3 linked regions of the Oryzias latipes genome follow. The protein of the gene in region 2 interacts with the protein of the main gene of each other region in a biochemical or structural test. Links are inferred from orthologs where the notes say so. Each region holds a gene or a part of one and is shown on either strand. Other genes may lie near its edges. The genes, in order: APC membrane recruitment protein 1, keap1 and mcm3.

Region 1 (7,830 bases), on a different chromosome or scaffold from region 2:
TTTAGAGTTGCCAATCAACCTATGAAGCATGTTTTTGGACAGTGGGAGGAAGCCGGAGATCCCGGAGATCCCTCCAATATAATATTTATAAAAATGCAACAAGAACCATCCATTCGTATAAAAATGTAAACTCCTGTGACAGAAGTGCCGATAGTACTCCAAGAGATAATTCATTAGATAATTTTTACCCACTGGTGCATGTAGAAAAAACCCTGATAAAGAAGTGATATCATGGGTAAAATTTAAAGTATAAATATTAGGACGTCAATAGCTTTTTGCCTTTAAACGGGATTCAGCAGTAAGCTGCCTTCAGTTTAAATATAAGATTAAATATTTCTTTCTATTTGGAAACGAAGACTGAAAGTGGATATTTTAGTAAAGAAAAATAAAAGACAAAGCATAACCAATCTATGTAAATGTAATGCTTGAAATTAGTTTTACAAATATTGTTTTAACTCACTTATGTTGTCACATTTTACAGGTAAAATACATTTATTACTAAAAAGAAATTCAGCTCCTTTCTCCTTTTTCATATTAAATTTTTCTTAAACATTTCCAAACAGCAAAAAAAAAAATCACTGCAAAGTTAACCATTTTTAATGTTTTTATTATTCTGTAAATTCTGATAAGAGTAAAGAGAACAGCTTCCTTTATCAAACAGATTTTATTCAATCATTAGTTTATAGGTATTCATCAAATAAATATGATTAACTTTCCTCAAACTTCCTGTAGTGCACCGTCTAAAAAAATCTGAGTTGTCACCACCATGTTGACAATGACATTAATGAAAGACGTGACTTAAAGATTCTAGATTTCAAAATAAAACTCGATGACAGTATACTAAGCAGGAACAAGCTAAACGTTAGCGGTGCAAAATATATATTATTGCAAATTTGTGTGGTTAATTTTTTGGGGGAAATCAACACTACACATATGTTCGTTTTCATTGTCCATTGTTCGTGTTAACTTTGTTGGTCTGTAAAATCGTAATGATAAATCAAACAAGTTGACACGTCAGTGAAAAAAAACAAAAGTGTTTATCTCTGCAGCATCATTAGTTGAGACACGTAAAAAGGAACAAATGCTTAAGAACTAGTTGACAGCACTAGAAAATGCACATTAGCAACATTTTTTGTCTACAAATGCAACAAGCATTATATAAAACGTGACCTTCGGCATTCTGTCAAATAACTGCTTTGACATCTTTAGGCCTCGAGCTGCAGTTAGCATATGCTAAAACGATACCCCAACATTATTTACACAACTCAAGTCAACACTCAGAGCTGATTTAGCTTTACGTGTTTACCACCATCTAGAAGTTAGTTTAAGTAACTATTAATAAGTGACACTGTCAGACGACATTAAGCTTGGTACTTAGTTTAGCTATACTGCTATCAAGCTAACATCGCTTACTTCAACGCTTGGAATGCTAACTGTAGTTAGCTTCAGTTTAGAGAATATGCTAACAATTTGTCAACAGAAATACCTTAACAACTTGGGATAAAGTTGCCAGTAATTTGATAACTCATACGATGCTGAATCCGCAGGGAGACGTGACGGTTCTCTGCATTCTCTGGCCGTACATCAGTGCCAATGTTGACTTCAAACGGTGCTCCTCTCACCTTGTTGCTGTCATCCTCCTCGCCTCTTCTAGTTGTCTTTTGCTGCCATTGGCGCTGTCGCATTTTAGGCAGGGTTGCCAGATAACGCGAGGGAAACAAGTAAATCACAATGAAAAATTCGGGAGCCAGATAAATGAGTCACGGAAGTTTGAAAGGCTTCTAATTATTTTAGATCCAACCTAAAATTCTGAATTTCTTGGTAAAGAACGCTGATTACTTATTGTTTGATGAAATAATGGTTCTAAAAGAACAACATTGCACATTTCTAATCGGCTTTGCAGATGATTACCTATTTTAGACTTGTATTGAAAAAGCATATCACATTTTATCCATAATATCAGATAACTATAATCCCTGTAATCAAACTTAATTTTTTATTCTATATGCACAAAATAAAAATGTATTTGGTTTTATCTTTGGCAGTATCAGGGTTAAAACTTATTTTGCAGACAGTTTTTAAATGATGTAGTTCAACAAAGCCCAATTTTAAAGAAAATATGGCATTAAGCTTTCAGTTTCTTCATATCATATAACTATTAATCAGCCTGTGACATTTAACATTTATCTAAAACTTTGCTCCTAACAGAAACACCTACAGCGTTTGGGTCATGCCACTTATGTGTAGAAAAAAATGCAGGTATTTAAAAGTTTAATAAAAAAATAGGATAATTTAAAGACAAGATTTCTACTTAAGAACTGGACTAAAGCAAAACCAAACTTCAGAACAGTGCAAAGCTCACTTTCAGTGAAAGAATCCAAGCCTGATTATACTTGATATCACGTTTATTTTCTTGTAAGGCAGTGTTGTATTCAGACAAAAGCTTTGAAAATGTTTAAGGTGAAAGTAAACAATAACTCATAAGAAAACTTAGACCCAATTTGCCATTTGTAACAGCCAAACTGTACATGATACAAGAAATCAGAACCTAGGGCTATAAAGACAATTGTAGACATTTTCCTAATATTACAGACAGAAAAATAACAACACTCCATTTTTAAAGAAAAAAAATAGCTTATCTTAAATTTAAAATCCAACCACTTGTTCATCCCTCACAATAACGGAAACGCAGTTTTGAAGAGCACAATTTTCATCTGAACTTTTTACTTCCTAGTTGGTGGAGCTATTTCAAATTGAAAACAGAACAGAACAAAGAAACAAATGCAACAAAAATAAAAGCATGGTTTTTCTTAGCTCAAAAAAAAAAATTAAAAAAAAGGAATCCCAGTCTATAATCACATGCTCTCTCTCATTCATGTATTGTTTCACTGCTTATGAAAACGGATATTTTCCATACAGGGGAGTTTTAGAAGATTTGCAAATGATTCTGAGTTCCCCTAAAAACCTTCAAAATGTAAACTTAAAGTTGCAGTTGAGATAAAATGTGGGAACAATAAACAACTCCTTTACATGTGTTTTTAGTTGTTTACCATGAACATGGTGGAAAAGTAGAACTAAAAAGAGCTAAAACTGTTTTAGTGCATCTCAAACCTGAACCCACAGAGGACTGTTATAACTGTTATAAAACAAAACAACCAAAAAAGAATCTCTGGTCTGTTAAATGGCATCTTCCTATAGATGAATTTTTATTTTTTATGACAGCTAAAAAAAGACTGAAATAAAAAGGTCCACTCGCTTTATTGTCTGTGTGGATGAGTGAAAGAGGACAAAACACCTGTGGTGTGTCGGGATTTGCTGACGGAGAGAATGTGTCACAGACAAAAACTCAAGTGAAGATGTGCTGGAAATTACAGGCAGGAAGGAATTACTGCAGTTTACTGCAGATTTACAAACTTCATTCACCATTTCAGGCCTGACGTGTTTGACATTGAAAATGCAGTTACTTCTTAATAGAGTGTCATACCGGTTCCAGTCAGGGCATCTTTTATTTCAGAAGTCTTTTCAATGAGGTGAAGAAAATTCAAACACCTGGATTTAGATGTAACGCTGCTGTGGACTCATAATTTTGAAATGCAGTAAAAACAAACCCAAGTTGACATTTAAGGCAAAGCAAAAGCATTCATATGTTCAAAAGGCAACAGGCGTAGCACGGTTGTACAGCTGAAGCCGGGCTGATGATGACCCTCGCAAACAAGTGTGGCATCAGTGAAGAGGCCTCAATATCAAGGCTACAAGTGGGTAAAACATTCTTGTCAAATTCAGTAGCTTAATGAGATGAGAACTTTAATGGAAAATGAAACAGCTGCTCCTTTAAATTCTTTCCATCTACATCTAGTAGCCCTCCGTGCACATAGACTGGTACAGCACAAATGCAGAAAGTCAGACGTTCTGGACATCATTTGTCAGTTTATTCAAGCGGTTCAACTCCACTTCCCGTCGGAGTAGACAGCTCCTCCAAACACGCGTCTGTGCAAACTAAAATCAGCAATTTTTGTTCCTTTGGACTAATATAAAAAGTGATTGCTGGCATTTGTCATCCAAACTGTGGCAAATCCTTTCAGTTTAGAGATACCTCAGGTAGCTTGCTGCAAGCCACAGAGAACAACACTACATCGCTTGACTTTCACAGAGGACGGATGTTTTATCTTTACACAAAGCTCCCTTCAGAGGACTCTGAGGAAGGCTCGCACCTTCTGCTCGGCCTTTACTGCTCTGGGTAAAGGATTTCATATGAGCAGTGTTACAGAAAACACGATCACCAAGATCGGCAAGCTCCTGCTCTGTCATTCCAGCATAAACCAGGGTGCCCTGAGGTCCACAGGAGTCTGACAGCACAGGGAAGTGACGCTGTCTGCCGCTTGAATCTGGATTGTGGGACATGAAATCACAGCTAGTGTCGTCTGACACAGTAGTGCAAAGATGATGCGGTTTAAGGTCAAAGAAGTCCCCGCTGGAGGAGTGATGAGAACTTAGACTTTGGACTTTTACAGTGACGTCTTCATCTGTCCTGGGATGCCACGACGAAGACATTATTCCTTTACCGTTTCCAGCTTCTGAGGACGACATAACTATGTTCTTTTTGCTGTATGGTAAAGAGCTTGAGTCCTCTTCCAGTTGAGAGGAATAAGCAACAGCCGCCCTGGTGTCTGTGCATACATTAGGACCTTCGGTATCCAGAGACCTGCTCCTCTTATCATGGGTTAATGTGTGAGGCACGGACTGGCTGACTCCTATAACGCCATGTTGCCGGGGGAGACTGGCAACAGCCCACGCGTTACTGATCAGGTTGTGTTCATACAAATCAAACATCTGATAATCACATTCAGCAAACCCATCTTTCTGAAGGTAGCTTTCCTCAAACTCCTGATAGGGTGAGGAGATGTCCTCTTCTAAGTCCATGCGCATCTGCTCATCATATTCACCCTCGTTGTGCATATCAACCACGTCAAACGTCACTATGGTGGGTAAGGCCTCCATGTTTGGAGTGAAAGCAGAATTCCTGTCCAGATCATCCGCATTGTTGCCGAGGATTTGAGTGTGTTTGGTGTAATCTTCAAGTGCTTGTGAGAAACACACTGTCTGCCCATCATCCAGGAAGGTGGTGCTCTCTTCAGCAGAGGAACTTTTGTTTTTGTATGGTAAAGCCACAGGCTTGTTTTCTTCAAGATGTTCCTCTTTAGGTCTGCAAAAGGTTTCATAATCTGGATGAGATGAGCTTCCAAATGCTACGCTGCAGTCAGCATTTGTGGATATTGTTCTCTTTTCGGTTGGAGTGAGCACTTTTCCAGTGTCACCAAAAATGCCTACTGCAGCATCTTTCATGTTTATCGATACTTGTTTTGAATGTGCATTAGTGTTTTGATTCCCTCTGATTTCCTGTCGACTTTCCACTTTCTGTGTCAACTCCAAGGACTTACTGCACGTGCCCGGCCTCTCTAGAAAACTCTCTGCGTATAGTTCGGCACCTATTAGCAAGCGATTCATTTCTGGAACAAAAGCAGCATCCATCTCATCCTCTGGCTCAGACAAAAAGGTGCTTGATTTGGAATTGGGATGAGGTGATTTGTTCTCATAATGAGGACTGATCAGACTCTCATCAGGCGCAAAAAGTTCATAGAGTGCATCTCCGCTGTAACTGTCCCTGGGTAATCTGCCAGCTCTTAACCCGTCACCTTCTTCCTGTCCTTCCTGTGGTCCAGGGGTCGTTGAGTCATAGTAACCCTCATCGCTATTTGGAAATGACTCCTGATGTTCACTTTGGGGAGTTAGAGCATCTGCAGTTGAGGAAACAACTATACCAACAGCCTGCTGAGCACTGCTACTGTTCAATGAGTCCAAATTGTGAGAACTTGTCAACTCATTTGTGTCCGTCTGGTCTGGATTACAAGTGCAGCAGATTGCGTCATTGTTTCCCCAAAACTCCTGAAGGCACGTTTCATCAAAATCCTCAGGTGAGGCCATTTCTTCTCCACCACCTTGGTAAGTAAGGTAACAGGAAGCCCTCTTCCCTCCGTTCCTGCTCCGTTCTCCAGACACCGTGCTGTCTGTGATGCTGTCGTCCTCTTGATCTGCAGTGATATCCCCACAGCCAGTCAGCGAATCAAAGCTCTTCAACGATGAAACATCTTCGAACAGGTTAAGCCCATCTGAGGAGCCGTGAGGAATTTCCGACTTCAATGCAGACGGAGACCCCATCTGAGGCTCCACACATGGTGCACTAGAATCTATCAGGGTCTCTTGGTGAGTAGTGGAAGCTCCAGCCACCGCAGCAGCTTCCTCAAGCAGATCATGCTGCTCCTGACCGCCGTGCTCAGACTTTGGTCTTTCTTTCTCTGCGCTGTTCTCCAATCGCATCACATCAGCACTGCTACATTCAGGACCAATGGAAATGTCACATTTCATGACATCTGTGAAATCAGGCACATCAGGTTCAGATCCCAGGCACTCAGTGACAGGCCGGCTGACTTGGACAGCAGGCCCCTCCCTCCCAGACTGAGGAAAGGATATTGCAATCATCTCTGTTGTATCCAAGCCGGCATTTCTCTGACCTCTGCTTTGCTTAAAACTCTGAAAGAGAGTTCTCAAACCCCTTTTGTGTCGACCGAGTGTCAGTGATTTCTGCTGATCAGCAGAGTGACTACATTCGTTGTGACAGCTGCTTTGGAGCTCTGCAGCAGTTTCCCTTTGACTGTGATACTCTGAAGCCTCAGTCAAGGCGCACACACTTCCCAGATGGTCTGTGTGGCTGATGTTACTCAACCCATCATGGGTTTTGCTTTTGCTAATTCCTTTCTTTGAGTGCCATTTGTTTTGATTTTTACTTCGCCCACCAAAAAAGCTCGGTAAAATACAGATACCTTTGCGAACTCCAAAAAACGTCAAAGCGGTCCTCCTGAATCTCCCAGTTTTCTGAGATTTGACTGTTGTATTTATCGGATCAGACTGAACGTCTTCTGTGATGAGACAGCGGGAATGCACATCAGCGACCGGAGGACTATCTTGGGCGTCACATTGTTGCTCCTCTACCTTGCAGTGAGCCATGACTATCACTTTTACAAAGACAAATGCCGGACAGAAGGCATCACAGACCGGGTTTAAAAGTCAGCTGAAGGCGGAACCACACCAAACTCATCACCCATCAGGTAAGGATCCTGCACAAAAATAAAAAAGCCAGTCAGTGAGAAGTTTCAAAATAATTGCCATTAGGAGACAGAACATTGAGGGAAAAAAAAAGGAAAAGGCAGCTAATAGATACTCTAGAGTAGGGGTGCCCAATTCGTCACTTGCGTGAATAACATCACTTGATTGACATGAAGTACAGCCAATCAAACATTCTCTGATACACACTTCAGTGCACACGTGTCTACGACTACACTGAGCACCATGCTCTACGAACTATATACAGGACCATAAATATTTGGACAGAGACACATCCGTTCTAATTTAGTTTCTGTACATTACCACAGTGAATTTTAAATGGACTTCCATGCTATTGCATGGGCAGGTGTGGGCAATTCCCTTGTTATGTCATTATGAGTGAAGCAGATAAAAGGCCTGGAGTTGATCAGAGGACTCGTGCTTGTATTTTGAAGATTTTGCTGTGAACAGACAACATGCGATCAAAGGAGCTCTCCATGCAGGTGAAAGGAGCCATCATTAAGTTGAGAAAACAGAAAGAAAAAAACCCAGAAATTGCTACAGTATTAGGAGTACCGGTATATAAATCAACAGTGTGGTACATCCTGAGAAAGAAAGAAAGCACTGATGAACTCAGCAAGGCAAAAAGACCTGGACGTCCACGGAAGACAA
Region 2 (8,297 bases):
AGGTTCAAATCCTCTCACATCAACAGGCTTAAAAGCTGTGGAGCAGAACGTCCTGATCACGAGTGAGTTTGATGAACCGTCTCCTTAGACTTACCGCTCCACACTGTTGTGATGAATGCAGCCGTGGGAACCGCCGACCGCATAAATCATGCCGTCGATGACGCCCACCCCGATCCGGTTCCTGGGGACGCTCATGGGCGCGCACGGACACCAGCAATTGTTCATGGGGTTGTAGCAGTCCAAAGCGTTGGAATCCATGTTGCCGTCGGGCGCGTTGTTTCTACCGCCGACGGCGTAGAAAAGGCCGCTGATCACACATGCGGCCAAACCACTGCGGGGCACCTGGAGGTCACTTAGCCTCAGCCATGCTCCTGTACAGGGGTTGTACGCCTCCAGATAGCTGAGGGACTGACGGAAATACCCCCCTGCCGTGTAGATGAGCTGAGGCACCTTGGGTGTTCGGCAGGGGTTTACTTTGGTGGGTTTGTGGAGGGTGAGCTCCTGGAAAATCTGAGCCAAGTAGTCTTTGCATTGTGGGTCCCAGTCTAAGGACTGGAGCTGGGTCTGCAGGAAGTTGGGGGTCAGGGAATGGCAGCGCACAGCCTGGAGTAAGGCTTGGACGTAGGGTCTACGGTTTTCGTGATCGTAGCGCACCCAGGCCACGCACGCCTGGAAGACTTCAGACTCGCACCGCACGTTGAGCTCGTCGCGGCTGATGAGGGTGACCAGCTGGCACTGAGACAAGTTGAAAAACTCCTCCTGGGTCGCTACCTGGAAGAAAAAAAAAATACAGCTCAATTACCTTCTTTCCACAAATGAAAATCATAAAAACAAGTTTTTTTAAACAAGTAGATGACCTGAGCAAAACGGTTTTAAAACATATTCTGTAAAAACTACTAAAAAAACAAAACAAAAAAAAAAACAGTTATTTTCATCTTAATAGGCATTTACATGAAAAAATATTTCAGTGTTTACCTGGAAACAGATTACAGTTGACTTCCTGAACAAACTGACTCAGCAGGTTCTATCATGTACCCATTTTCACTTTTAAAAACTTTTGCAAAAACAATACTCTGACTGAACAGAAGTAACCATAGACTTTTACAGCTATTTCCTGACATTGAGAAAGAATAAAAGAACCTTTTACACTTTCAAACACGTTTTTTAATTAAAAAACAAAAACAAAATGATAAAAGCTCTCAATGACAAATATTTGTGCAACAAGACTTTCAACTCGACATGAATTTGCTTGCTCATCTTGTCAAAGATCAATTAACTCTGACGTACAGTCATATTTTGCCACCACGTATGCTCCAACCATGACAAAATAAAGCTCGCCATGGGTCATGGCCCACTGCAGCGGGAAAAGCACCCACCAAGAACCACAATGGAAGATGTGAAACAGGTTTCACTTCCAAAACCACTTCAAATTCCCCACTTTTTCTGATTGGTGGCAAGTCAGTGGAAAAATACAAGCAAGATTACATAAAAGTTATCTTTGCTCTGTGACACTGCCTTACTTGGCTGAAGTTCATGTAGATGTACTCCCTGGCTTTCTGGTGGAGCTCTGTGCAACCGATCTGCTCGGCAAAGTTGGCGATGCCGATGGCGTTGCTGGGGTCGAGCTGCTGGACGAGGAAGTCGCAGCAGGCCTTGACCACGCTGTCTATCTGGTACATGACGGCGCCGTTCATCACATGGATGACGCACTTCTCTCCCACGGAGATGCTGGCAGTGTAGGCAAACTCAATCAGTCGCTCCATAACCTGAGAAGGAGTTGTTTGAGAACTTTTTCATTCCTTAACATAGAAACTAACAGTTACATCTTCAAAAGGGAGTTAAACATTTAGATTGGAAACGAGTTAAACTGAAATCCTCTGGAGACAGAGCAGTCCCTCCATATTAAAGCAGTTGGGCATCTTCTCTTTGACATCTATCCTGTTTACATCCACTTCACTGCACCACAAAACGTAAACTGTTATTCCAAGGCGTGACATGGAAATAAACCCCTTAAAATGATGAATTCTAAGCAAATGCCACTGACCTTGGGGTGAATCCCTTCGATGGGAACCAGCTCAATCCCGCACTCCTTCAGCCCGTTGGTGAACATGGCTCGGAAAACGGGCGAGGAGGAGGCCAGGACCACCTTGTGCGCCACAAAGTCCACTTCGTCCAGGTCTTTGTAGCGCACCCGCAGCGTGACGTCGCATAGCTGCCGCTCCAACCGCAGCTCGTTCATGATGGCGAAGGCGGCCGAGGTGTGGCTCTCCAGCGTGTAGCTGAAGACGCGGTGACCGTTGCGCGTGGAGGGCGTCACCAGCGCTTTGCATTCTGTCAGGCACTCTGTCATTTCCTAGAAAGGGTCTTTCTCCTCTTTAATGTCTTTGCTTCAAGATCGGTGGACACGGTTATTGGGCATCCTGGCACCACATGTGAAATGAAGTCGAGGTGATCGTTTTGCAGAGCTCCAGTCTTTCCAGTTGTCACAGCGTCTCTGTTGTCCTTCCTAGTCTCTGCAAAAGTCTTATTTATGACCACATGAAGATGTCCTGGCTCTGTTTAGCACTCAAGCTGAGTCATGCTGCGAGTTATGACATTGAAAATAGCTTGAGAGATGCCAGTTCCAGCTGGGCACGCCGTTATACACTGGCCCTCCAGCATGCTGAATGGGAGTTAAAGATTGATGTTGCTGTAATTAAGTTTAAACTACAGAGTCGGGAATCAAAGGGATTTCTTTTAGATCAACTGCATTTGTCACAAAACTCTCTGTCTTTCCACACCTGCATGATACTGACAGAAGCCTGTTAAACATGCCTGTTTGTTGGAGGAATAAAAAGAAATATATGGCAGTAGCCAATTAAATCATGCTCTGAAAGTCTCTTATTAAATCTATGTTGGTCAGTTAAATTCCCTAAAGGAACCAACTCATCAGATGGATCAAAGCTAAACTATGACCGTTAAAAGTAAAACAAATGTTGAGATAAATGTGTAGGAATCCAACAGTTTGACTGCTTGTTGTTTGATAATCAAGAAGAGATCCAAAGGCGTCACTGGTGGGTCTGAGAGCTCTTTGAAACGGAGAAGGAAGAACTGAAGTCTATACTTGAAAAAAAAAAACTTCCTTAAGATTTTCCAGAGCTGGATATCGTTTGTTGTGCCGCTGCTTTCAAGCAGGCAGGGAATTTAGCCGACAGCTGAGGGGAGAAGGAGAGAAAAGGTTTGTGTTAGGAAGCCTCAGATAAATTCTGTGGTCACCACATGATCCCAGTTAAGAACCTTTTAACATGCCACTGTAAAGATATACTTTTTATACAGACGTGTACAACAAAAGTCTAAAAACACTAACATTAAAGATATAAAATAAAACAACATATTTGACTTTAAAAACACACTGCTAAAGTACCTTCAATTGGGCATAAATCCAGCTGACAAGTATTTACTCTTATCCTGTGACCAATCCAGCTGATAGTAAGAAGAACATAGAAAACACTAATTATTTTCAGTTAATCAAACCCATTGTTTTGTTTAATTATTACATGTCATGAAGATAGACATGAACATGAGAATTTTTCAGGCTTGGTGGGGCAAGAACATGACTGAAACATGGCAGAGATTGCTCTCCAGGCTGGTTTGGACAAAAGTACGTCAGCAAGGACAGAATGGGCACGGGTCCACGGGAGGACAACAACTCGACTATTGCATAATGTTAAAATGACAGAGGGGTGGAGGGTGCAACAAAGTGAATGCAGGCCAGTTTACTGTCATCACAACTTCTCCTTTACAGAACATGAAGCAACAGGGATATGAAAGACAAAGAGCAGACTGTGGCCAATTTGACTGGTGAACTCTGAATAGGAAGAGTCAGTCCGTCAGCAACAATCCTAACACGATTACTTATATAACCAACACACCATAGGTTGTATTGAGGGACGAGATAAAAAGACAAGTGTTTTACAGTTCGTAGAGTAGGAAAAAGACTATTTTGTTATCAAAAGTCATGTGTTTAAAGGCTGCTGTGGAGTCAGCCAGTGACACTTACAGTAACACGAAACACACTTTATGACACTGATTTGAAACTGCACTTTTCTTCCTCCTGGTGACTAACAAGGAAAACAGAACATTCCAGAACATATTGCTCAACATGCTATCGCTCACAAACAAGCAGCTAGCGTATCAGTCTGGTGAATGTGGCATTTCATCTCTTTGGTATTGAACTGAGAGGGTAAACTTATTTATTTAGCTGGTGTTCAGAGCATTTTGTTTTGGTTCAAATCTTTTTCCAAATGAGCAAGGAGCTCAAAAAGTGTAACATTTTCAATAACATAAACATTATTATGTCATTTTACTTTTTTCTCAAGATATTTATATTGCAAAAAAATGAGAGTTTGTGTTGCATTGTCATTTTTAGTAACAAAAAAGTTCAATAAACCCCTGCACCTCAATTTGGGAACCCCCATTTGAATCAACTTTATTTATAAAGCACCTTTCATACAAAAGGTGCAACTCCAAAAAACGGGCCTGCAATCAATAGCTGTCACTTTAAAAAAAAGCTGCAGAAAATCTGTGGAGACCACAACAACTTGGAGAGACTTTCACTTCTAGATTCGTCGCCAAACTTTGTGCGAAACAGCCAACGCGGAGGGGGCGAGGCCGAAGACAAGCAAAGAGCGTCCAACGTGTTTTGTTGGCATTCGTGGTGGAGGAGGAGAGCTTCCCTCGTTGGTGACTCATTGCGAGCTATTCGCCAAGCCAGAAAGAGTGGAACTGAATGTACCAAAACGCGACCCAGAAGTGGAGCTGGTTCTTATGTAAGCCCGGGGATGGAATTAGATTTCCATCCCGTGCACCTTTCCTAGAAGAACTTTCACACAACGCGAAGTTTAGCTTTCACTCCACACTGACTAAGGTCATCATCTACACTTACTACAAGCTTGTTTTCGGCTGAAACTGCCACAGAGCTGGCATGCAACAGCAAAAACACAGATGAAGGTGGACCAAACTGAGGTCTAAAAAGATAAAAAATTCCGCGGTCTCATTGATTGGAAGAAAACACCGAGGTGGAGGTAACGCTATCGGCAGCAGCAAAATAAGCCCCTAAAATAGACAGTGGAGTAACGTCTGAGAACTGATAGCTACAAACATGCTAACAAAGAGTAAGTACTCAGTCTTACCGCCCAAAAAACCTACTTTCCGTTCAACCGAACTGACAAAACCGTACTGATGGACATTTTAAAATTTAACTGTAAAGTAAAGGCAACTCACGTACTCTCTTATTTCCAACGTTTTCTGCCGAGCTGTGCGCCACATAGGAAGGAGGAGGGGAGGCTGTAACTCACCGTGACTAAGCATTGTACTAGTCAACTGGCCTTCACAATAAAAGCATGCTTCCTGAACGTCGGGACCGCCTCCATTGACGAGCAATGAGTCGTGTTTGCGTCAGGGGGTGGTAGGCTTTTATTGGGAAAGGAGTCTCAGAATTAAAAAAAAACAAAAAAAGAAAACCAGGCCAAAAGGTTAACTTTGAGTTAAAATTGTGACTTATTGCTTAACAAAACTGTTACAACCATTACAGTTATACTTTACTCATATGTTTATCCTCTTAAATAAGCATTGCATCTACACAAGAACAATTCAATCTTATAATAAGAACATACATATGTCACTCATACTCAGAAATCTCTGAACCAATCTACATTAAAAGAAAACATGATGCAGCTCTCTCGCAATCATCTTATCTAACAATTATTTTTTATCAGAAAAAAAATCTGCCTTGCTTCAGATGGGACCAAAACACATTTTGGCTTGTGCTGACACACCAAGTTTTTTCACTCCTGCAAACTGTGAAATCCGGGTCAATAGGGTAGTAGCCTACATAGCAGCCTTGTTTTTAAAAGAAATCACAAGGTGGCAGTAAAAGCCAACAGTTACAGCTGCAAAGGTCAAGCCTCTGTTGAGTCATGTCAGTAAGCTCATTTGTCAGCAGAGATAAAAACAACCGTCTTATAGATTATTTCTGCACACGTGTTCAAGTGTGGGAAAGAAAGCCTGACTGCTGTCTGCAGGAGTATTGCAAAAACCTGCAATCAGCATCTGGGAAAATTTCGATATTGTTAAAGAATCAAACGACAAACAAAACCAGAGCAATGAAACCAAGTCTTTTGTTAACCCACTGATAAACTGTGCTTTGCTGAGACAATAAGAGCGGGATGCATGTGAGTCAATGTCTCCTCCAGATGTGTTTTCAGACCACATAAATCACACACAACAAAATGCAAAAAGAGTGATGGTTCGCCTAAGAAAATATTTTATTATTTGAATGAAAAGGAAGGTAACAAAATACAATTCACATTACAAGTGTTATAAAAAAACATATTTTTCAGTAATGAAAAATTTGTCGCTACATTAAGTTCAGCACAAAATAGAAAACTGTCACATTCATCCACTTCGACTGTATTTCAGCCGCAGATATCTCAAGAAAAATGGAAACGTTTGTGATGATTGACAGAAAGAAGTATTGTAGTTACAGCCCTGAAGTTTTCTTGAATTCCCATAAAATAAGTTACAAGTGCAGATAAATTCTTATCCTTTAAACACCCGCCGCAGCTAATAAATGAAACTTTATTCACAAGATAAAAATTCCGAACTGTGTTTTCATAACTGAGTGGTTTCAGTCACAGTCTAAGTATTACCATATAACATTCAAAAATCTTTTTTTTTTGGCCACATCTCGGATGTGTTGACATTTTAATGCAACTGGACAGAAAATGCCAGACCAACAGAAAATAGAAAGACTTTTGCTTTGTCTGGTTGGTTCACTTTCAACTAAATCAAGAGAATTAGAGAAACTTTCATCCCTCCCACAGTAAAACTACAACAATCTTCATGTGTTCTTAAAATAAAACTCCCTCTTTTCAGAGTCTTTCTCTGCAAAGCTCCACTGCACCACGTACACAAACAAAAGCAGTTATGGTGCTGAGGATTTTATCAGAGCAGGAGTAGCAGACCATTCAACTTGAAGATGTGGATGATACAGGTTGACCTATTTTCTTACCTGTTCCACACCATCAGGACAAGAAGTCATGTTTAGTTCACATTTTGACCAGAATACTGTGGCCCTTTTTTTCTTACCTAAAAAAGCTAGTTCATGGTATTGTTGCTGTTCGCACATTTATTTTTTATTTGTAAAATGTGAAGCATTTGTCAAAGCATGATTCAGCTGCACCTCTATCATACTTCTTAACTTTTTGGCTTTACTAAATACCCCAAAATACCATTGTTGCCAGAGTCTATGACTTGAAGAGCTTGGGATATATAGATTTAATTGGAGATGAAGTGTTGATTATGTTTCCAGTGGAAATGATCGACTCCTGCCCCACGTCCAACCTCTGAGAGCCCACTTCACTCCTGCTGAAACTGTACTCCAGGAACGTCCCAAACCTGTTGATCTGTCCGCCTGTGGCAATCAGACATGGCAGACACAGCAGCCTCAGAATGGCTACTCTCATGTCTCTACTGGTCAGAGTGTAGATGATGGGGTTGAGGAGTGAGTTGATCATGGCTAGCCCGAGGAAGTAGTCGGCTTTGTATAGTAGTTCGCACTTGCCACTGGAACAAAAAAAGTCTAAGAGGAAGAGGACAAACAGAGGCATCCAGCAAGCGATGAAGACACCCAGAACAATAGTCACTGTCTTTAGCAGGGCTATGTACTTCTTAGACTTTCTTGATAAACTTCTTCTCGTGGGTCCTGTCAGGCCCTGCCTCTGGCGCTGTGTGTTGGTGCGCACAATGTGAAAAACTCTGGCATAAAGAACCACAATGGCCAAAAGCACTGCACTGAACACGGAGACGCAGAATAGGATGTAGCTTTTGTCATAAAGTGGGAACACTGTTGAACATTGGTCCAACTTTCCAATGCAGTTCCATCCCAAAATGGGAAGCACCCCCAGAAAACCTGCCAGGGCCCAACTTGCTATGATAAGTGCCACCATCCGTCCCCGCTTGGCCCCGTGGTACGGACGCATGGCCATCATAGTGAAATGCCGTTCGATTGCAATCGCCAGCAAACAAATAACAGAGGCGGCCAATGTGATGAAGACTCCCCCTTCCCTGAGGAACCAGAGCAAAGGCGTCAGTTTTAAGGTGTGAGGTCCAGACATGAGAATGTTAGCTATATAAGCAATCCCAGCCAGAAGGTCGGACAGAGTCAAGTTTCCCAGAAGGTAATACATGGGTAGATGGAACTTCTTGTTCCTCCAAATAGCGATGAGAACCACAGCATTCTCCAGGATGATGATACC
Region 3 (8,356 bases), on a different chromosome or scaffold from region 2:
TATTTGGCGCCTTTCTTGGAAACCAAGGGGCCCAAACATAGAATAATGACAGTAAAACAAACAAAAAAAACAGTAAAAAAAACACTTATAAAAATAGGCAGAGGCAGTGAAGTTATGGGTTGGAAGTTGGAAAAGGTGGGTTCTGAAAATGGATCGGATTAGATACAGTACACATCTTTTTTCCATTTATTTTTTATATTTATCTATGTATTATTACATTTTGTGTGTTATGGTATATATCTGTACAATTTTCTTTTTTTACATTAATATACTATTGTGAATATCCATTTATGTATTTTTTGTTTCAAATATTAAGAAAACAGATTTCTTTTTCTGCTAAAGGCGTTTAAATGACCAAAATAATTTTGTGATTTAACTCAAAGCCTTTCTAATGCTATTAACAAAAACATCATTTTTGATATGATTACCAAACTTTGGATCATACTTCAACTTGTTAAAATAAATAGTTTTATAATTACAGAAGAATAGGTTTCATTTGGTTTCAGACTGAATGAACCCTGACAGGCTTTTTTTTTTTTTTAAAAAACCCTGACAGGCATTTTTTGCTGACAGGAAAACAAGGTGAGACGTCGGTGAGTCACGGCGGAGCGGATCCAGAGCAGCACCGCCTCCTGAATGAACTTTATTCTGCACGGCATCTGAGCAGCAAAGGCCTACATCTGGGCCAAGCTGCGGTTAAGCGTCTGATGAAGTCACTGCTTTCTGTTTGAATAGCACCTTTATCAACAAAAAAATGGAGGAAATTAGAAAGAAAAACAACAAATTTCATTAAGGTGTCGACATCTGCAGATTTGATCCCCATAAAACCAGTTTATTGAAAGTATTCAGTCAAAAATCAGACTTGTGCATCATTTTATTCGTTTTTCACTTTGACAGATTAACAATATCAGATCCTTTCTACTATTTACAAAAGCAGAGCTGAGAAAAATCCACCTTGTTCCACCAAACACACACAAACAGTCCCTCATCATCCTCGCTCAGATGAGGAAGATGATGTCATCCGCCACCATGACCTGGTTATCGTCCTGCATGCGCGCCAAAGCTGTGCGGACATCTGCGTCCGTGAAGACTGCCGCGCCCTCCTTGTTGATGCCGTCCATCAGCGCTGCCATCTTGACCGACTGAGCGTGTGCGGACTGGAAGACTGCGAAAAGCGAGGACTTGAACTCCTTCAGCCTGAGGGAGAGGAAGAGGAGAGGGTTTTTAGGATCTAAGTTGAGGAGTTATTAATGTTGGACCTACATGAGGCCGGGGCCATGTACCTCTCAGCAGACAGCTCTACATCTTCAGCCTGCGGCGTGGCGTCCATGGCCTCCTCCTCCTCCTGCCGCCGCTGGGGTTTGGTTACCTTGGAGATTCCAGTCTGAACTACAGAGAAGAATTCAAAGCAGGAAGTTCTTCTGGGTTCAAAAGGTGCCTGAAACATCACTACTTACTCTCAGGAACTTCCTGCTCTTCGGTGAAGTCGTAGGGGCTGCGAGGCTCGCAGCTTTGAGATCCACGTCGCCCCCTGCAGGAGATAAGAGGAAGTGTTAGTGCTGACTTCAGGGCAGATCTTTTTTTTTTTTACCAATAGTCCTCCTGACCTCTTCCTCTGGCTGCTCTGTGATCGCTGTGAGACCGCCTCTTCCTCCTCTTCATCCTCTGAACCGGAGTCGCGCTCCTGTCTTGAGCGCTTCTTCTCTTTTTCCAGGACCTGCGGGTCACACGGTGGGGGCGTCATCGCAAAAGCCAAAATCCCCTCGCAGGCGTGACAGAGTGGGACCAACCTTTTTGAAGTAAGCAAACTGGACGAGCTCCACGGCGACCTCCGAGTCCACGCGCTCCACCACTTTGCTGATGCGGGATTTGGCGTGCGCCGTGGAGAGGCGGATCAGCGTCTCTAGAGTACGAGCCGTTACTGGGGAGGTCTGCGGGGAGGAGATGAGGTCAGAGCCGGAACTGTATGCCCAAAAAGGAAAAAGGAAGAAGAGCTCCTGCTCACCCTCGCCATGTCCGATCCCAGCTGCTCCTGGCCCCTCAGTCTGGAATACTCCTCTGCGATGTGATTGGCCGCCTCTTCCGTCAGCACGGGAGTCACCGCCTTGGCGATGTGGATGTACTTCCTCATGAACTCCTTACTCAGAATCTTATCCCTGCAAGCGAACGTCCATGTTTAAATTCAGGTGATTCCTCGGAAAATCCTGTGGCGTAGAGAATCTGCGCCTCCTACTTCTTCCTCCTGCTTCCGTGCAGCAGGACGTTGTGTTTCTCATAGATCTGCAGCTCCTCGCGCTCGTCCGCCGCCGCGTCCGGATCCTCGGTGGTCAGCACGTCCACCGTCCCGCCCAGAGCCATAGCTAGAGAAGGAGGCGACATTGTTAGGAAGCGAGGCGTAAAGCGGGCGCAGACGACACCACTGCGGCTCTTTAGTACCTGTCCCCTCCTGCTCGCGCGGGTCGCGGTAGCGGTGCATCCTCAGCACGTGGTCAGAGACCTCGCGGTCCTGCTCCGGGTCCATCTGGTCCAGAACGATAAACAAAAGGTCGAAGCGAGACAGGAGAGAGTCCTGCAGGCCGATGTTCTCCATGGGGGTCTTGTACTGGTCATACTGCGGCAAAAATAAAAGTAGATGAAAGGAAGTAGGAGTCAGTGTGGCGAGATTTTGCAGGGGAGGGGCTTACCCTTCCGTAGACCGGATTGGCAGCGGCCAGCACGGAGCAACGGGCGTTGAGCCGTGCGTGGATACCGGCCTTCGCGATGGTGACGCGGCCCTGCTCCATCACCTCGTGGATGGCCGTGCGGTCCATGTCGGACATCTTGTCGAATTCATCAATGCACACCACGCCGCGGTCGGCCAGCACCATGGCGCCCGCCTCCAGGCGCCGCTCGCCTTGGGGGAGAAAACCCATTGAGCGGTGGAGCAAAGGAGAACGATCGAGTTAGTCAAGAGAAAAGGCGGGGTTACCTGTCTCCTGGTCGGTGGTGACGGCAGCCGTGAGACCCACGCCAGACGACCCCCGCCCGGTAGTGGGGATGGCTCTGGGCGCCGTGTGGAGGACATATCGCAGCAGCTGGGACTTCGCCACCGACGGGTCACCTGTCAGAGGTTAAAGACCCACGATCACCAACGGGGAGGTGAAGGGGGGTTGGGGTTGCGCTTTTTACAATAGATCACAAGATAATGGAAGTGGGTCCACCCAGAAGCTCCTGGATTCCTGCGGTGGTCTTACCGATGAGCAGGATGTTGATGTCCCCTCGGATGCGGGAGCCGTTCTCCAGAACCTTCTCCACGCCTCCCAGCAGCATGCACAGGATGGCCTTCTTGATATACTCGTGGCCGTGGATGCTGGGAGCCAGAGAGCGCGCCAGCTGGTCAAATACGTTCTACAGGGGGGAGAAAAACCCAAATGTTTCAACGTCTCTGTCTGCTGAAACAGGAAGTTCTAAAGGGAGGAAAATGACGCACAATGGAGCGAGTCTGACTGAAATTCCTGATCTTGGCAGCGTCGTCGGCAGAGAAGCACGGAGACACCTCCTTGCTCATTTGTTTCACGTTGCATGCTATCATGATCGTCCTACAACCCAAAAGAATTGAGTTAATGGTCAAAGTTTCTCAGTAAACCCGGAAAGCGGCAGAGAAACGTGTCTCACCTGAAGGTGCCGGAGGTGAATCCCCCCTTCTTTCCAGGAAGGCAGCGGTACGTTCCGATCACCTGCACCCTGTCTCCGGGTTTCACCATATCCACCAGGTCGTTGTCTAGGATGATGTCCACGGAGCGGGGCAGCTGGCCCGCGGGGGCCTTCTCGGGCATTTCCTGCACTGTGATGGTCTGGTGGTCTTTGTAGATGGACAGACCGAACTCCGTCTCCAGCGGGTTGTTCTCCTCGTCCTGAAAGCATCACGTTCAGTCCAAAGCTCGCGTCTGAGGAGGCTAAGATGGCAGCTTCACCTGTACCTTGGTGGGGTAACTAGCGCTGGAGGGAAAGGCGTCCAGCGAGGTCAGGTCAGTGTACTTCCTCTCCATGGTCTTCTTCGTGGCCGGGCAGTAGTGGACGCTGCGCACCACCTTGGGACGCACCAGAGAACCTACAGACCACAAAGTCACATCAGGGCTTCTGCCGTCCTTCTGCCAATCCCACAAACAGAAATGTGCTCACATTTGGTGATGATGCCCTCCACACAAACCATGCTGCCCAGCAGGCGGGACGTCAGCGTCCGCGGCGAGACGTGCTTGGCGCCGAAGCTCCCCTCCAGACCCACGAAGAACTCCTCGTGCTGCTTGGCGTAGGTGGCGTCCACAGAGGCGACCAGATCCTTCAGAGCCCGCTGGAACGCCACCAGCTCCTCGAATGCGTTGGTCATCAGTCTGTTAGAGGAAAATTGTTCAAATTCATTAAAGAAATACGGAATTTCCTGAGGTGATCTTCACTCATGATTAAAATGTAATTAATTTCTACTAGTAACAAATTCCTTTCAAAATAAAATATATCCTAAATATATCCCAAAATAAAATATAACCTATATTTCCTGCTGCAGCAGATTTACTTGACTTAAAATAAAGACAATTAGTTAAAAAAAACATACCCAATGTTTATGTAAATTATTAACCTTTTTTCAAAGTCAATGAGCCTCAATAGAGACAAAAGGGCCGCAATTGACTCCAAATCACCGTTTTGATAAACTAGAGTAAAACGTTACATTTCTCCTTTTGATCACGAAATCGCCCTATGATTTTCGCTGTTTTGTGTGCACGTGTTACGTTTACAGAAAAGTGTGTGTGTTGTGTTTGCATTGTGTTGTTTCTGACTTTGCAGCTCGGGCTTCGTTGCGTCTCCTCAGGTCGTTGATGTTGACGATGAGTCGTGCTTTGTTCTCGTTGATCATGTCCCGGACTTTGCTTTGGTAAATGCCCTGGTCTTGCTAAAAATGAAAAGTCGTGATGAAAAACATTAAAACAGAAAAAATAATTAGTTTCGCCAAAACCGAATCACTTCACGTGAGACCAAAGAAACAGAACAGAACAGTTTTTTGCCGCAGACTCACATCGTCGTCCAGGAAGTCCAGATAGTCCCTCTGTGCCTCCCTCATTTCCTGGTCATCTACGACGTCGGTCGACATCTTTGTTGTAAAGTTAAGTTTTTAAGTCTTTAAACTAATAAAAACTCTTTAACCGCCGCAGTGTGCTCCTCTGCAGGCAAACCACACAAGTGAAAGAGTTTCGCGCCACTACATATCACGTGCCACCAAAGCGTGCACCACTATTGGCCAGCTTGCAAGCCACCTCCTCGGCTCCCAGTTCAGCTATCCAATAAAGTGTTTGCTTCCCTCTGTGGCCCCGCCTTCCCAGAGGACTCCCGCGAAAATGCAGCGGAAGGAAGGAGTCTGGAGGTGGGCGTCCATTTCCAGACAATTTGCAGTTATAGATTTCTGCCAGTAGAGGGCGACAAACACCAACCGGAAATTCAACAAAACTACAGAATTTTTTTAATTATGTAAATCCTGGAGAACTTAAGAACACATTTCCTTTGGACTTTTAAAGTTAATTTGACTTTTTTGTTTGTTTGTTTATATTGGGTAGCCGCAGTCAACAGCGGTAAAAAAAAATAGAAAAAACTAACAAGTAAAAGTTTTTAAAGAGGAAATAAATATGAATTATTTTTTCCCTAATTACTATTTATATTCGGATTTATCTAAACATGCAACCAGGTACAGTTTTTCTCAGTTGCTCTAGTACAATTCTCAGATCAGAATTGAAGTTTGCAAATACGTGTGTGCATTTCTCAAAACAATTTGTACAAACAGCAGCATAGATCTTTGGTTCATCTCTCAAAACTAAGTCTTTATGTCATTGAACATGTCAGTGCCATCAGAATGTCAAGTCCTTGTGTCATTGTCTACGAACAAGACAGTCAAATTACTTAGTCATGTTGTCAATATAACTGTGTACTTTAGAGGGAGGTTCTGATGTAAACTATGGCTAAAGTTTGGATGACAATTATTGTAAAATGTAAGTTACACCTTTTCTGTTTGATTGCAAGAGACTGGACAAGATTCACATTTACACTTTTATTGTTCATATTGTAATTTGTTGACAGACCATGTCATACCAACATAAAAAAAAAAACACCGCAAACAGTAACACAAACGGAAAATAAAAGAAAGGACAATATTCTGTACAACAGTACAGGCAGTGCAGTAGGAATTGGTGTGGTCTTCCTACACCTCTTGTCGTTCCTGTATTTTAGGCCACGAATTCTCATCCACATCACAGCGAATAGCCTCTCTTGCAATGCAGTGAAATATGTTTGTCACATTATGACAACTTGGTCAACCATTTTGCAGTTGACGACTTACGATGAACTAATGACTAGGTGTTTTGAGGAGTAAGACTGTTGCAAGGTGAACTATATAATACATTTTTGATCAACATGACATAAACAACTGATAATGTAGCAAAGAGCAGAGAATTGTACATAATCATTTGCATGGATGTACCAAAGCAACTGCAACTTGTTCAAAGAAGTGAGAAACTGCTTATATGATGTGCATAAGTGACATCATGATGTGAATATTGAACAAATAGTTTTGGGAATTTCATTCTGATCTGAGAATTGTACTGAAGCGACTGAGAAAAACTGTAATATACAGTTATTGAAACAACGTCTAATTAAAAAACGTACATGTGGTATATTTATGAGAGAATTCTGCTGCCCTGAAAATGTGAATGTAGACGTGTTGATTCATAAAAATGTGACTTTTTACATCTGGTGGGCGTGTCATGTGAGTTTGACTCCGCCTTCCCCAGTTCTCCAGTTTGTTTTGCTTTTGCCGGTTCAGAGCCTGGATCATGTCTTGTTAGTGTTTGAATACTCCCGTCTGCTCGCCTTTTGTTGGAAGAGAGTCGGTCTGAGGTTAAAACCAAGCGGGTGGAGTTAAAGCTGTTGTCTGGTCTACCTGCGCAGGTGAGATGAATATTTCTCCCTTTTAAATAACATTGCCATGCTTTATCTCTCTGAAATAGTCTTTGTAGTATAAAGATTTTTTTTAAGTATGAGTTTAGTGACGTACAAAATTGAATCATGATAATCCAACAGACTGAATGCAAATTTGTATACCTGTTGAACGGCATTTTTCTCACCAAGTCCCAGGTTTGAGCAGTTGGTGGTGGTAGAAGAAGGGATATGAATGGTGCTTTTCTCATAAAAACCTCTGATGGGTGAGGTCAGGCTGCACCCTTTGAGTAGATGCAGATACCTTTTGGGAAGATTGCATCACAGCTACTTTGTGACAACTATAGCTGACATTCCTCTGTGTAAGTGTCATAGAGGGCCTGTTTACAGGTTTGGTCGTTTGCTTCATTGCTGACTTCAATTAGAACACATTGTCTCCCCTTGCACTGGCATTTTGCTCTTTTTCAGTCTTTAAATGCATTGTGCTTATAGTTAAGGCTTAATAGTTCAGAGTTGTACTATGGACCCTGTTGAACAAATTAATGAAAAGCCACAAAAAACGTTTAGGATTTTTAAACAATCCTTTTATCTGTGCATGTATTTCTGCTGCATGTCTCTGATGTCAGATTTTTCAAAGTCCCACTCTGATCATCTTTTGATCTAGTTGCAAAGCATTCCTAGTGGTCTTTTATGATTATTGACTTTGAAAAGCATTTGACACTCTCAATCATGTCATCCTACTTGACGAACTGAAAGTGCATGAGATAAGAGGACTAGCGCTAACTTGGGTCAAAAGCTATCGATAACACTTTATATTAAGATTCCTTAACAAGCTTTGTTAACACATTAACAAGCATTATAAATTAATTTATAGGGTGTTAGTAAGACATTTATTAGTACAATAAGTCTAATAAGGTTTATTAAATTACTTAGTTAACACATTTACAAGCATTATTATTAGGATGTTTTCAAAATGCTAGTGATGCATTTACTGATATTATAGGTGCCTAACAAATGTGTCAGTGTTAATAAGCTTAATAAGATTTATTAACAACCTTTGTTAACAAATTAAGAAGTATTATTATTGTTTAGGGTTCTAGTAAGATATTTATTAGCATTATAGATGCCTGACACAAGCCTAAGTGTTCATAAGCTTAATAAGTTTTATTAACTAACTTAACAAATTAATAGGCTTTATTAATGTGTCAGATGCTAGTAAGATATTTATTAGCATTATAGATGTCTTGCAAATACCTGAAAGTGTTAATAAGATTTATTAACATCTAAAGTCAGACCATTTTCTTCTAAATCCATATTACTAAACTGCTTATAAGCTTTACAAATGTATTAATTAACTTTGTTAATAGTTTATTAATTGTTTTGCAGCACCCCATCTAAAGTG

The links.
Region 1: the proteins of keap1 (region 2) and APC membrane recruitment protein 1 form a complex in vitro, tested with the Homo sapiens proteins (2 studies listed by BioGRID). The link is inferred for Oryzias latipes from reciprocal best matches to the Homo sapiens genes KEAP1 and AMER1.
Region 3: the proteins of keap1 (region 2) and mcm3 form a complex in vitro, tested with the Homo sapiens proteins (2 studies listed by BioGRID, with this or other methods). The link is inferred for Oryzias latipes from reciprocal best matches to the Homo sapiens genes KEAP1 and MCM3.

The regions. Positions count from the first base shown.
Region 1 is NC_019872.2:16,854,534-16,862,363, forward strand, and holds the end of APC membrane recruitment protein 1, read right to left. Parts: intron 7,173-7,830; 5' UTR 7,063-7,172; coding exon 4,129-7,062; 3' UTR 2,388-4,128; downstream 1-2,387. UniProt on the Homo sapiens protein: Regulator of the canonical Wnt signaling pathway.
Region 2 is NC_019859.2:10,399,260-10,407,556, reverse strand, and holds the start of keap1 (kelch-like ECH-associated protein 1), read right to left. Parts: upstream 5,386-8,297; 5' UTR 5,267-5,385; exon of another isoform or gene 5,263-5,266; intron 5,190-5,262; exon of another isoform or gene 5,172-5,189; intron 3,463-5,171; exon of another isoform or gene 3,404-3,462; intron 3,195-3,403; 5' UTR 2,351-3,194; coding exon 2,045-2,350; intron 1,767-2,044; coding exon 1,521-1,766; intron 772-1,520; coding exon 95-771; intron 1-94. Other genes in the region: sphingosine 1-phosphate receptor 1, read right to left, coding at 7,287-8,297. UniProt on the Homo sapiens protein: Substrate-specific adapter of a BCR (BTB-CUL3-RBX1) E3 ubiquitin ligase complex that regulates the response to oxidative stress by targeting NFE2L2/NRF2 for ubiquitination.
Region 3 is NC_019882.2:13,461,367-13,469,722, forward strand, and holds mcm3 (DNA replication licensing factor MCM3), read right to left. Parts: upstream 5,542-8,356; 5' UTR 5,123-5,541; coding exon 5,048-5,122; intron 4,925-5,047; coding exon 4,812-4,924; intron 4,371-4,811; coding exon 4,162-4,370; intron 4,091-4,161; coding exon 3,960-4,090; intron 3,894-3,959; coding exon 3,655-3,893; intron 3,579-3,654; coding exon 3,470-3,578; intron 3,388-3,469; coding exon 3,234-3,387; intron 3,101-3,233; coding exon 2,969-3,100; intron 2,894-2,968; coding exon 2,685-2,893; intron 2,612-2,684; coding exon 2,437-2,611; intron 2,361-2,436; coding exon 2,234-2,360; intron 2,157-2,233; coding exon 2,006-2,156; intron 1,932-2,005; coding exon 1,791-1,931; intron 1,718-1,790; coding exon 1,608-1,717; intron 1,532-1,607; coding exon 1,458-1,531; intron 1,390-1,457; coding exon 1,284-1,389; intron 1,198-1,283; coding exon 999-1,197; 3' UTR 818-998; downstream 1-817. UniProt on the Homo sapiens protein: Acts as a component of the MCM2-7 complex (MCM complex) which is the replicative helicase essential for 'once per cell cycle' DNA replication initiation and elongation in eukaryotic cells.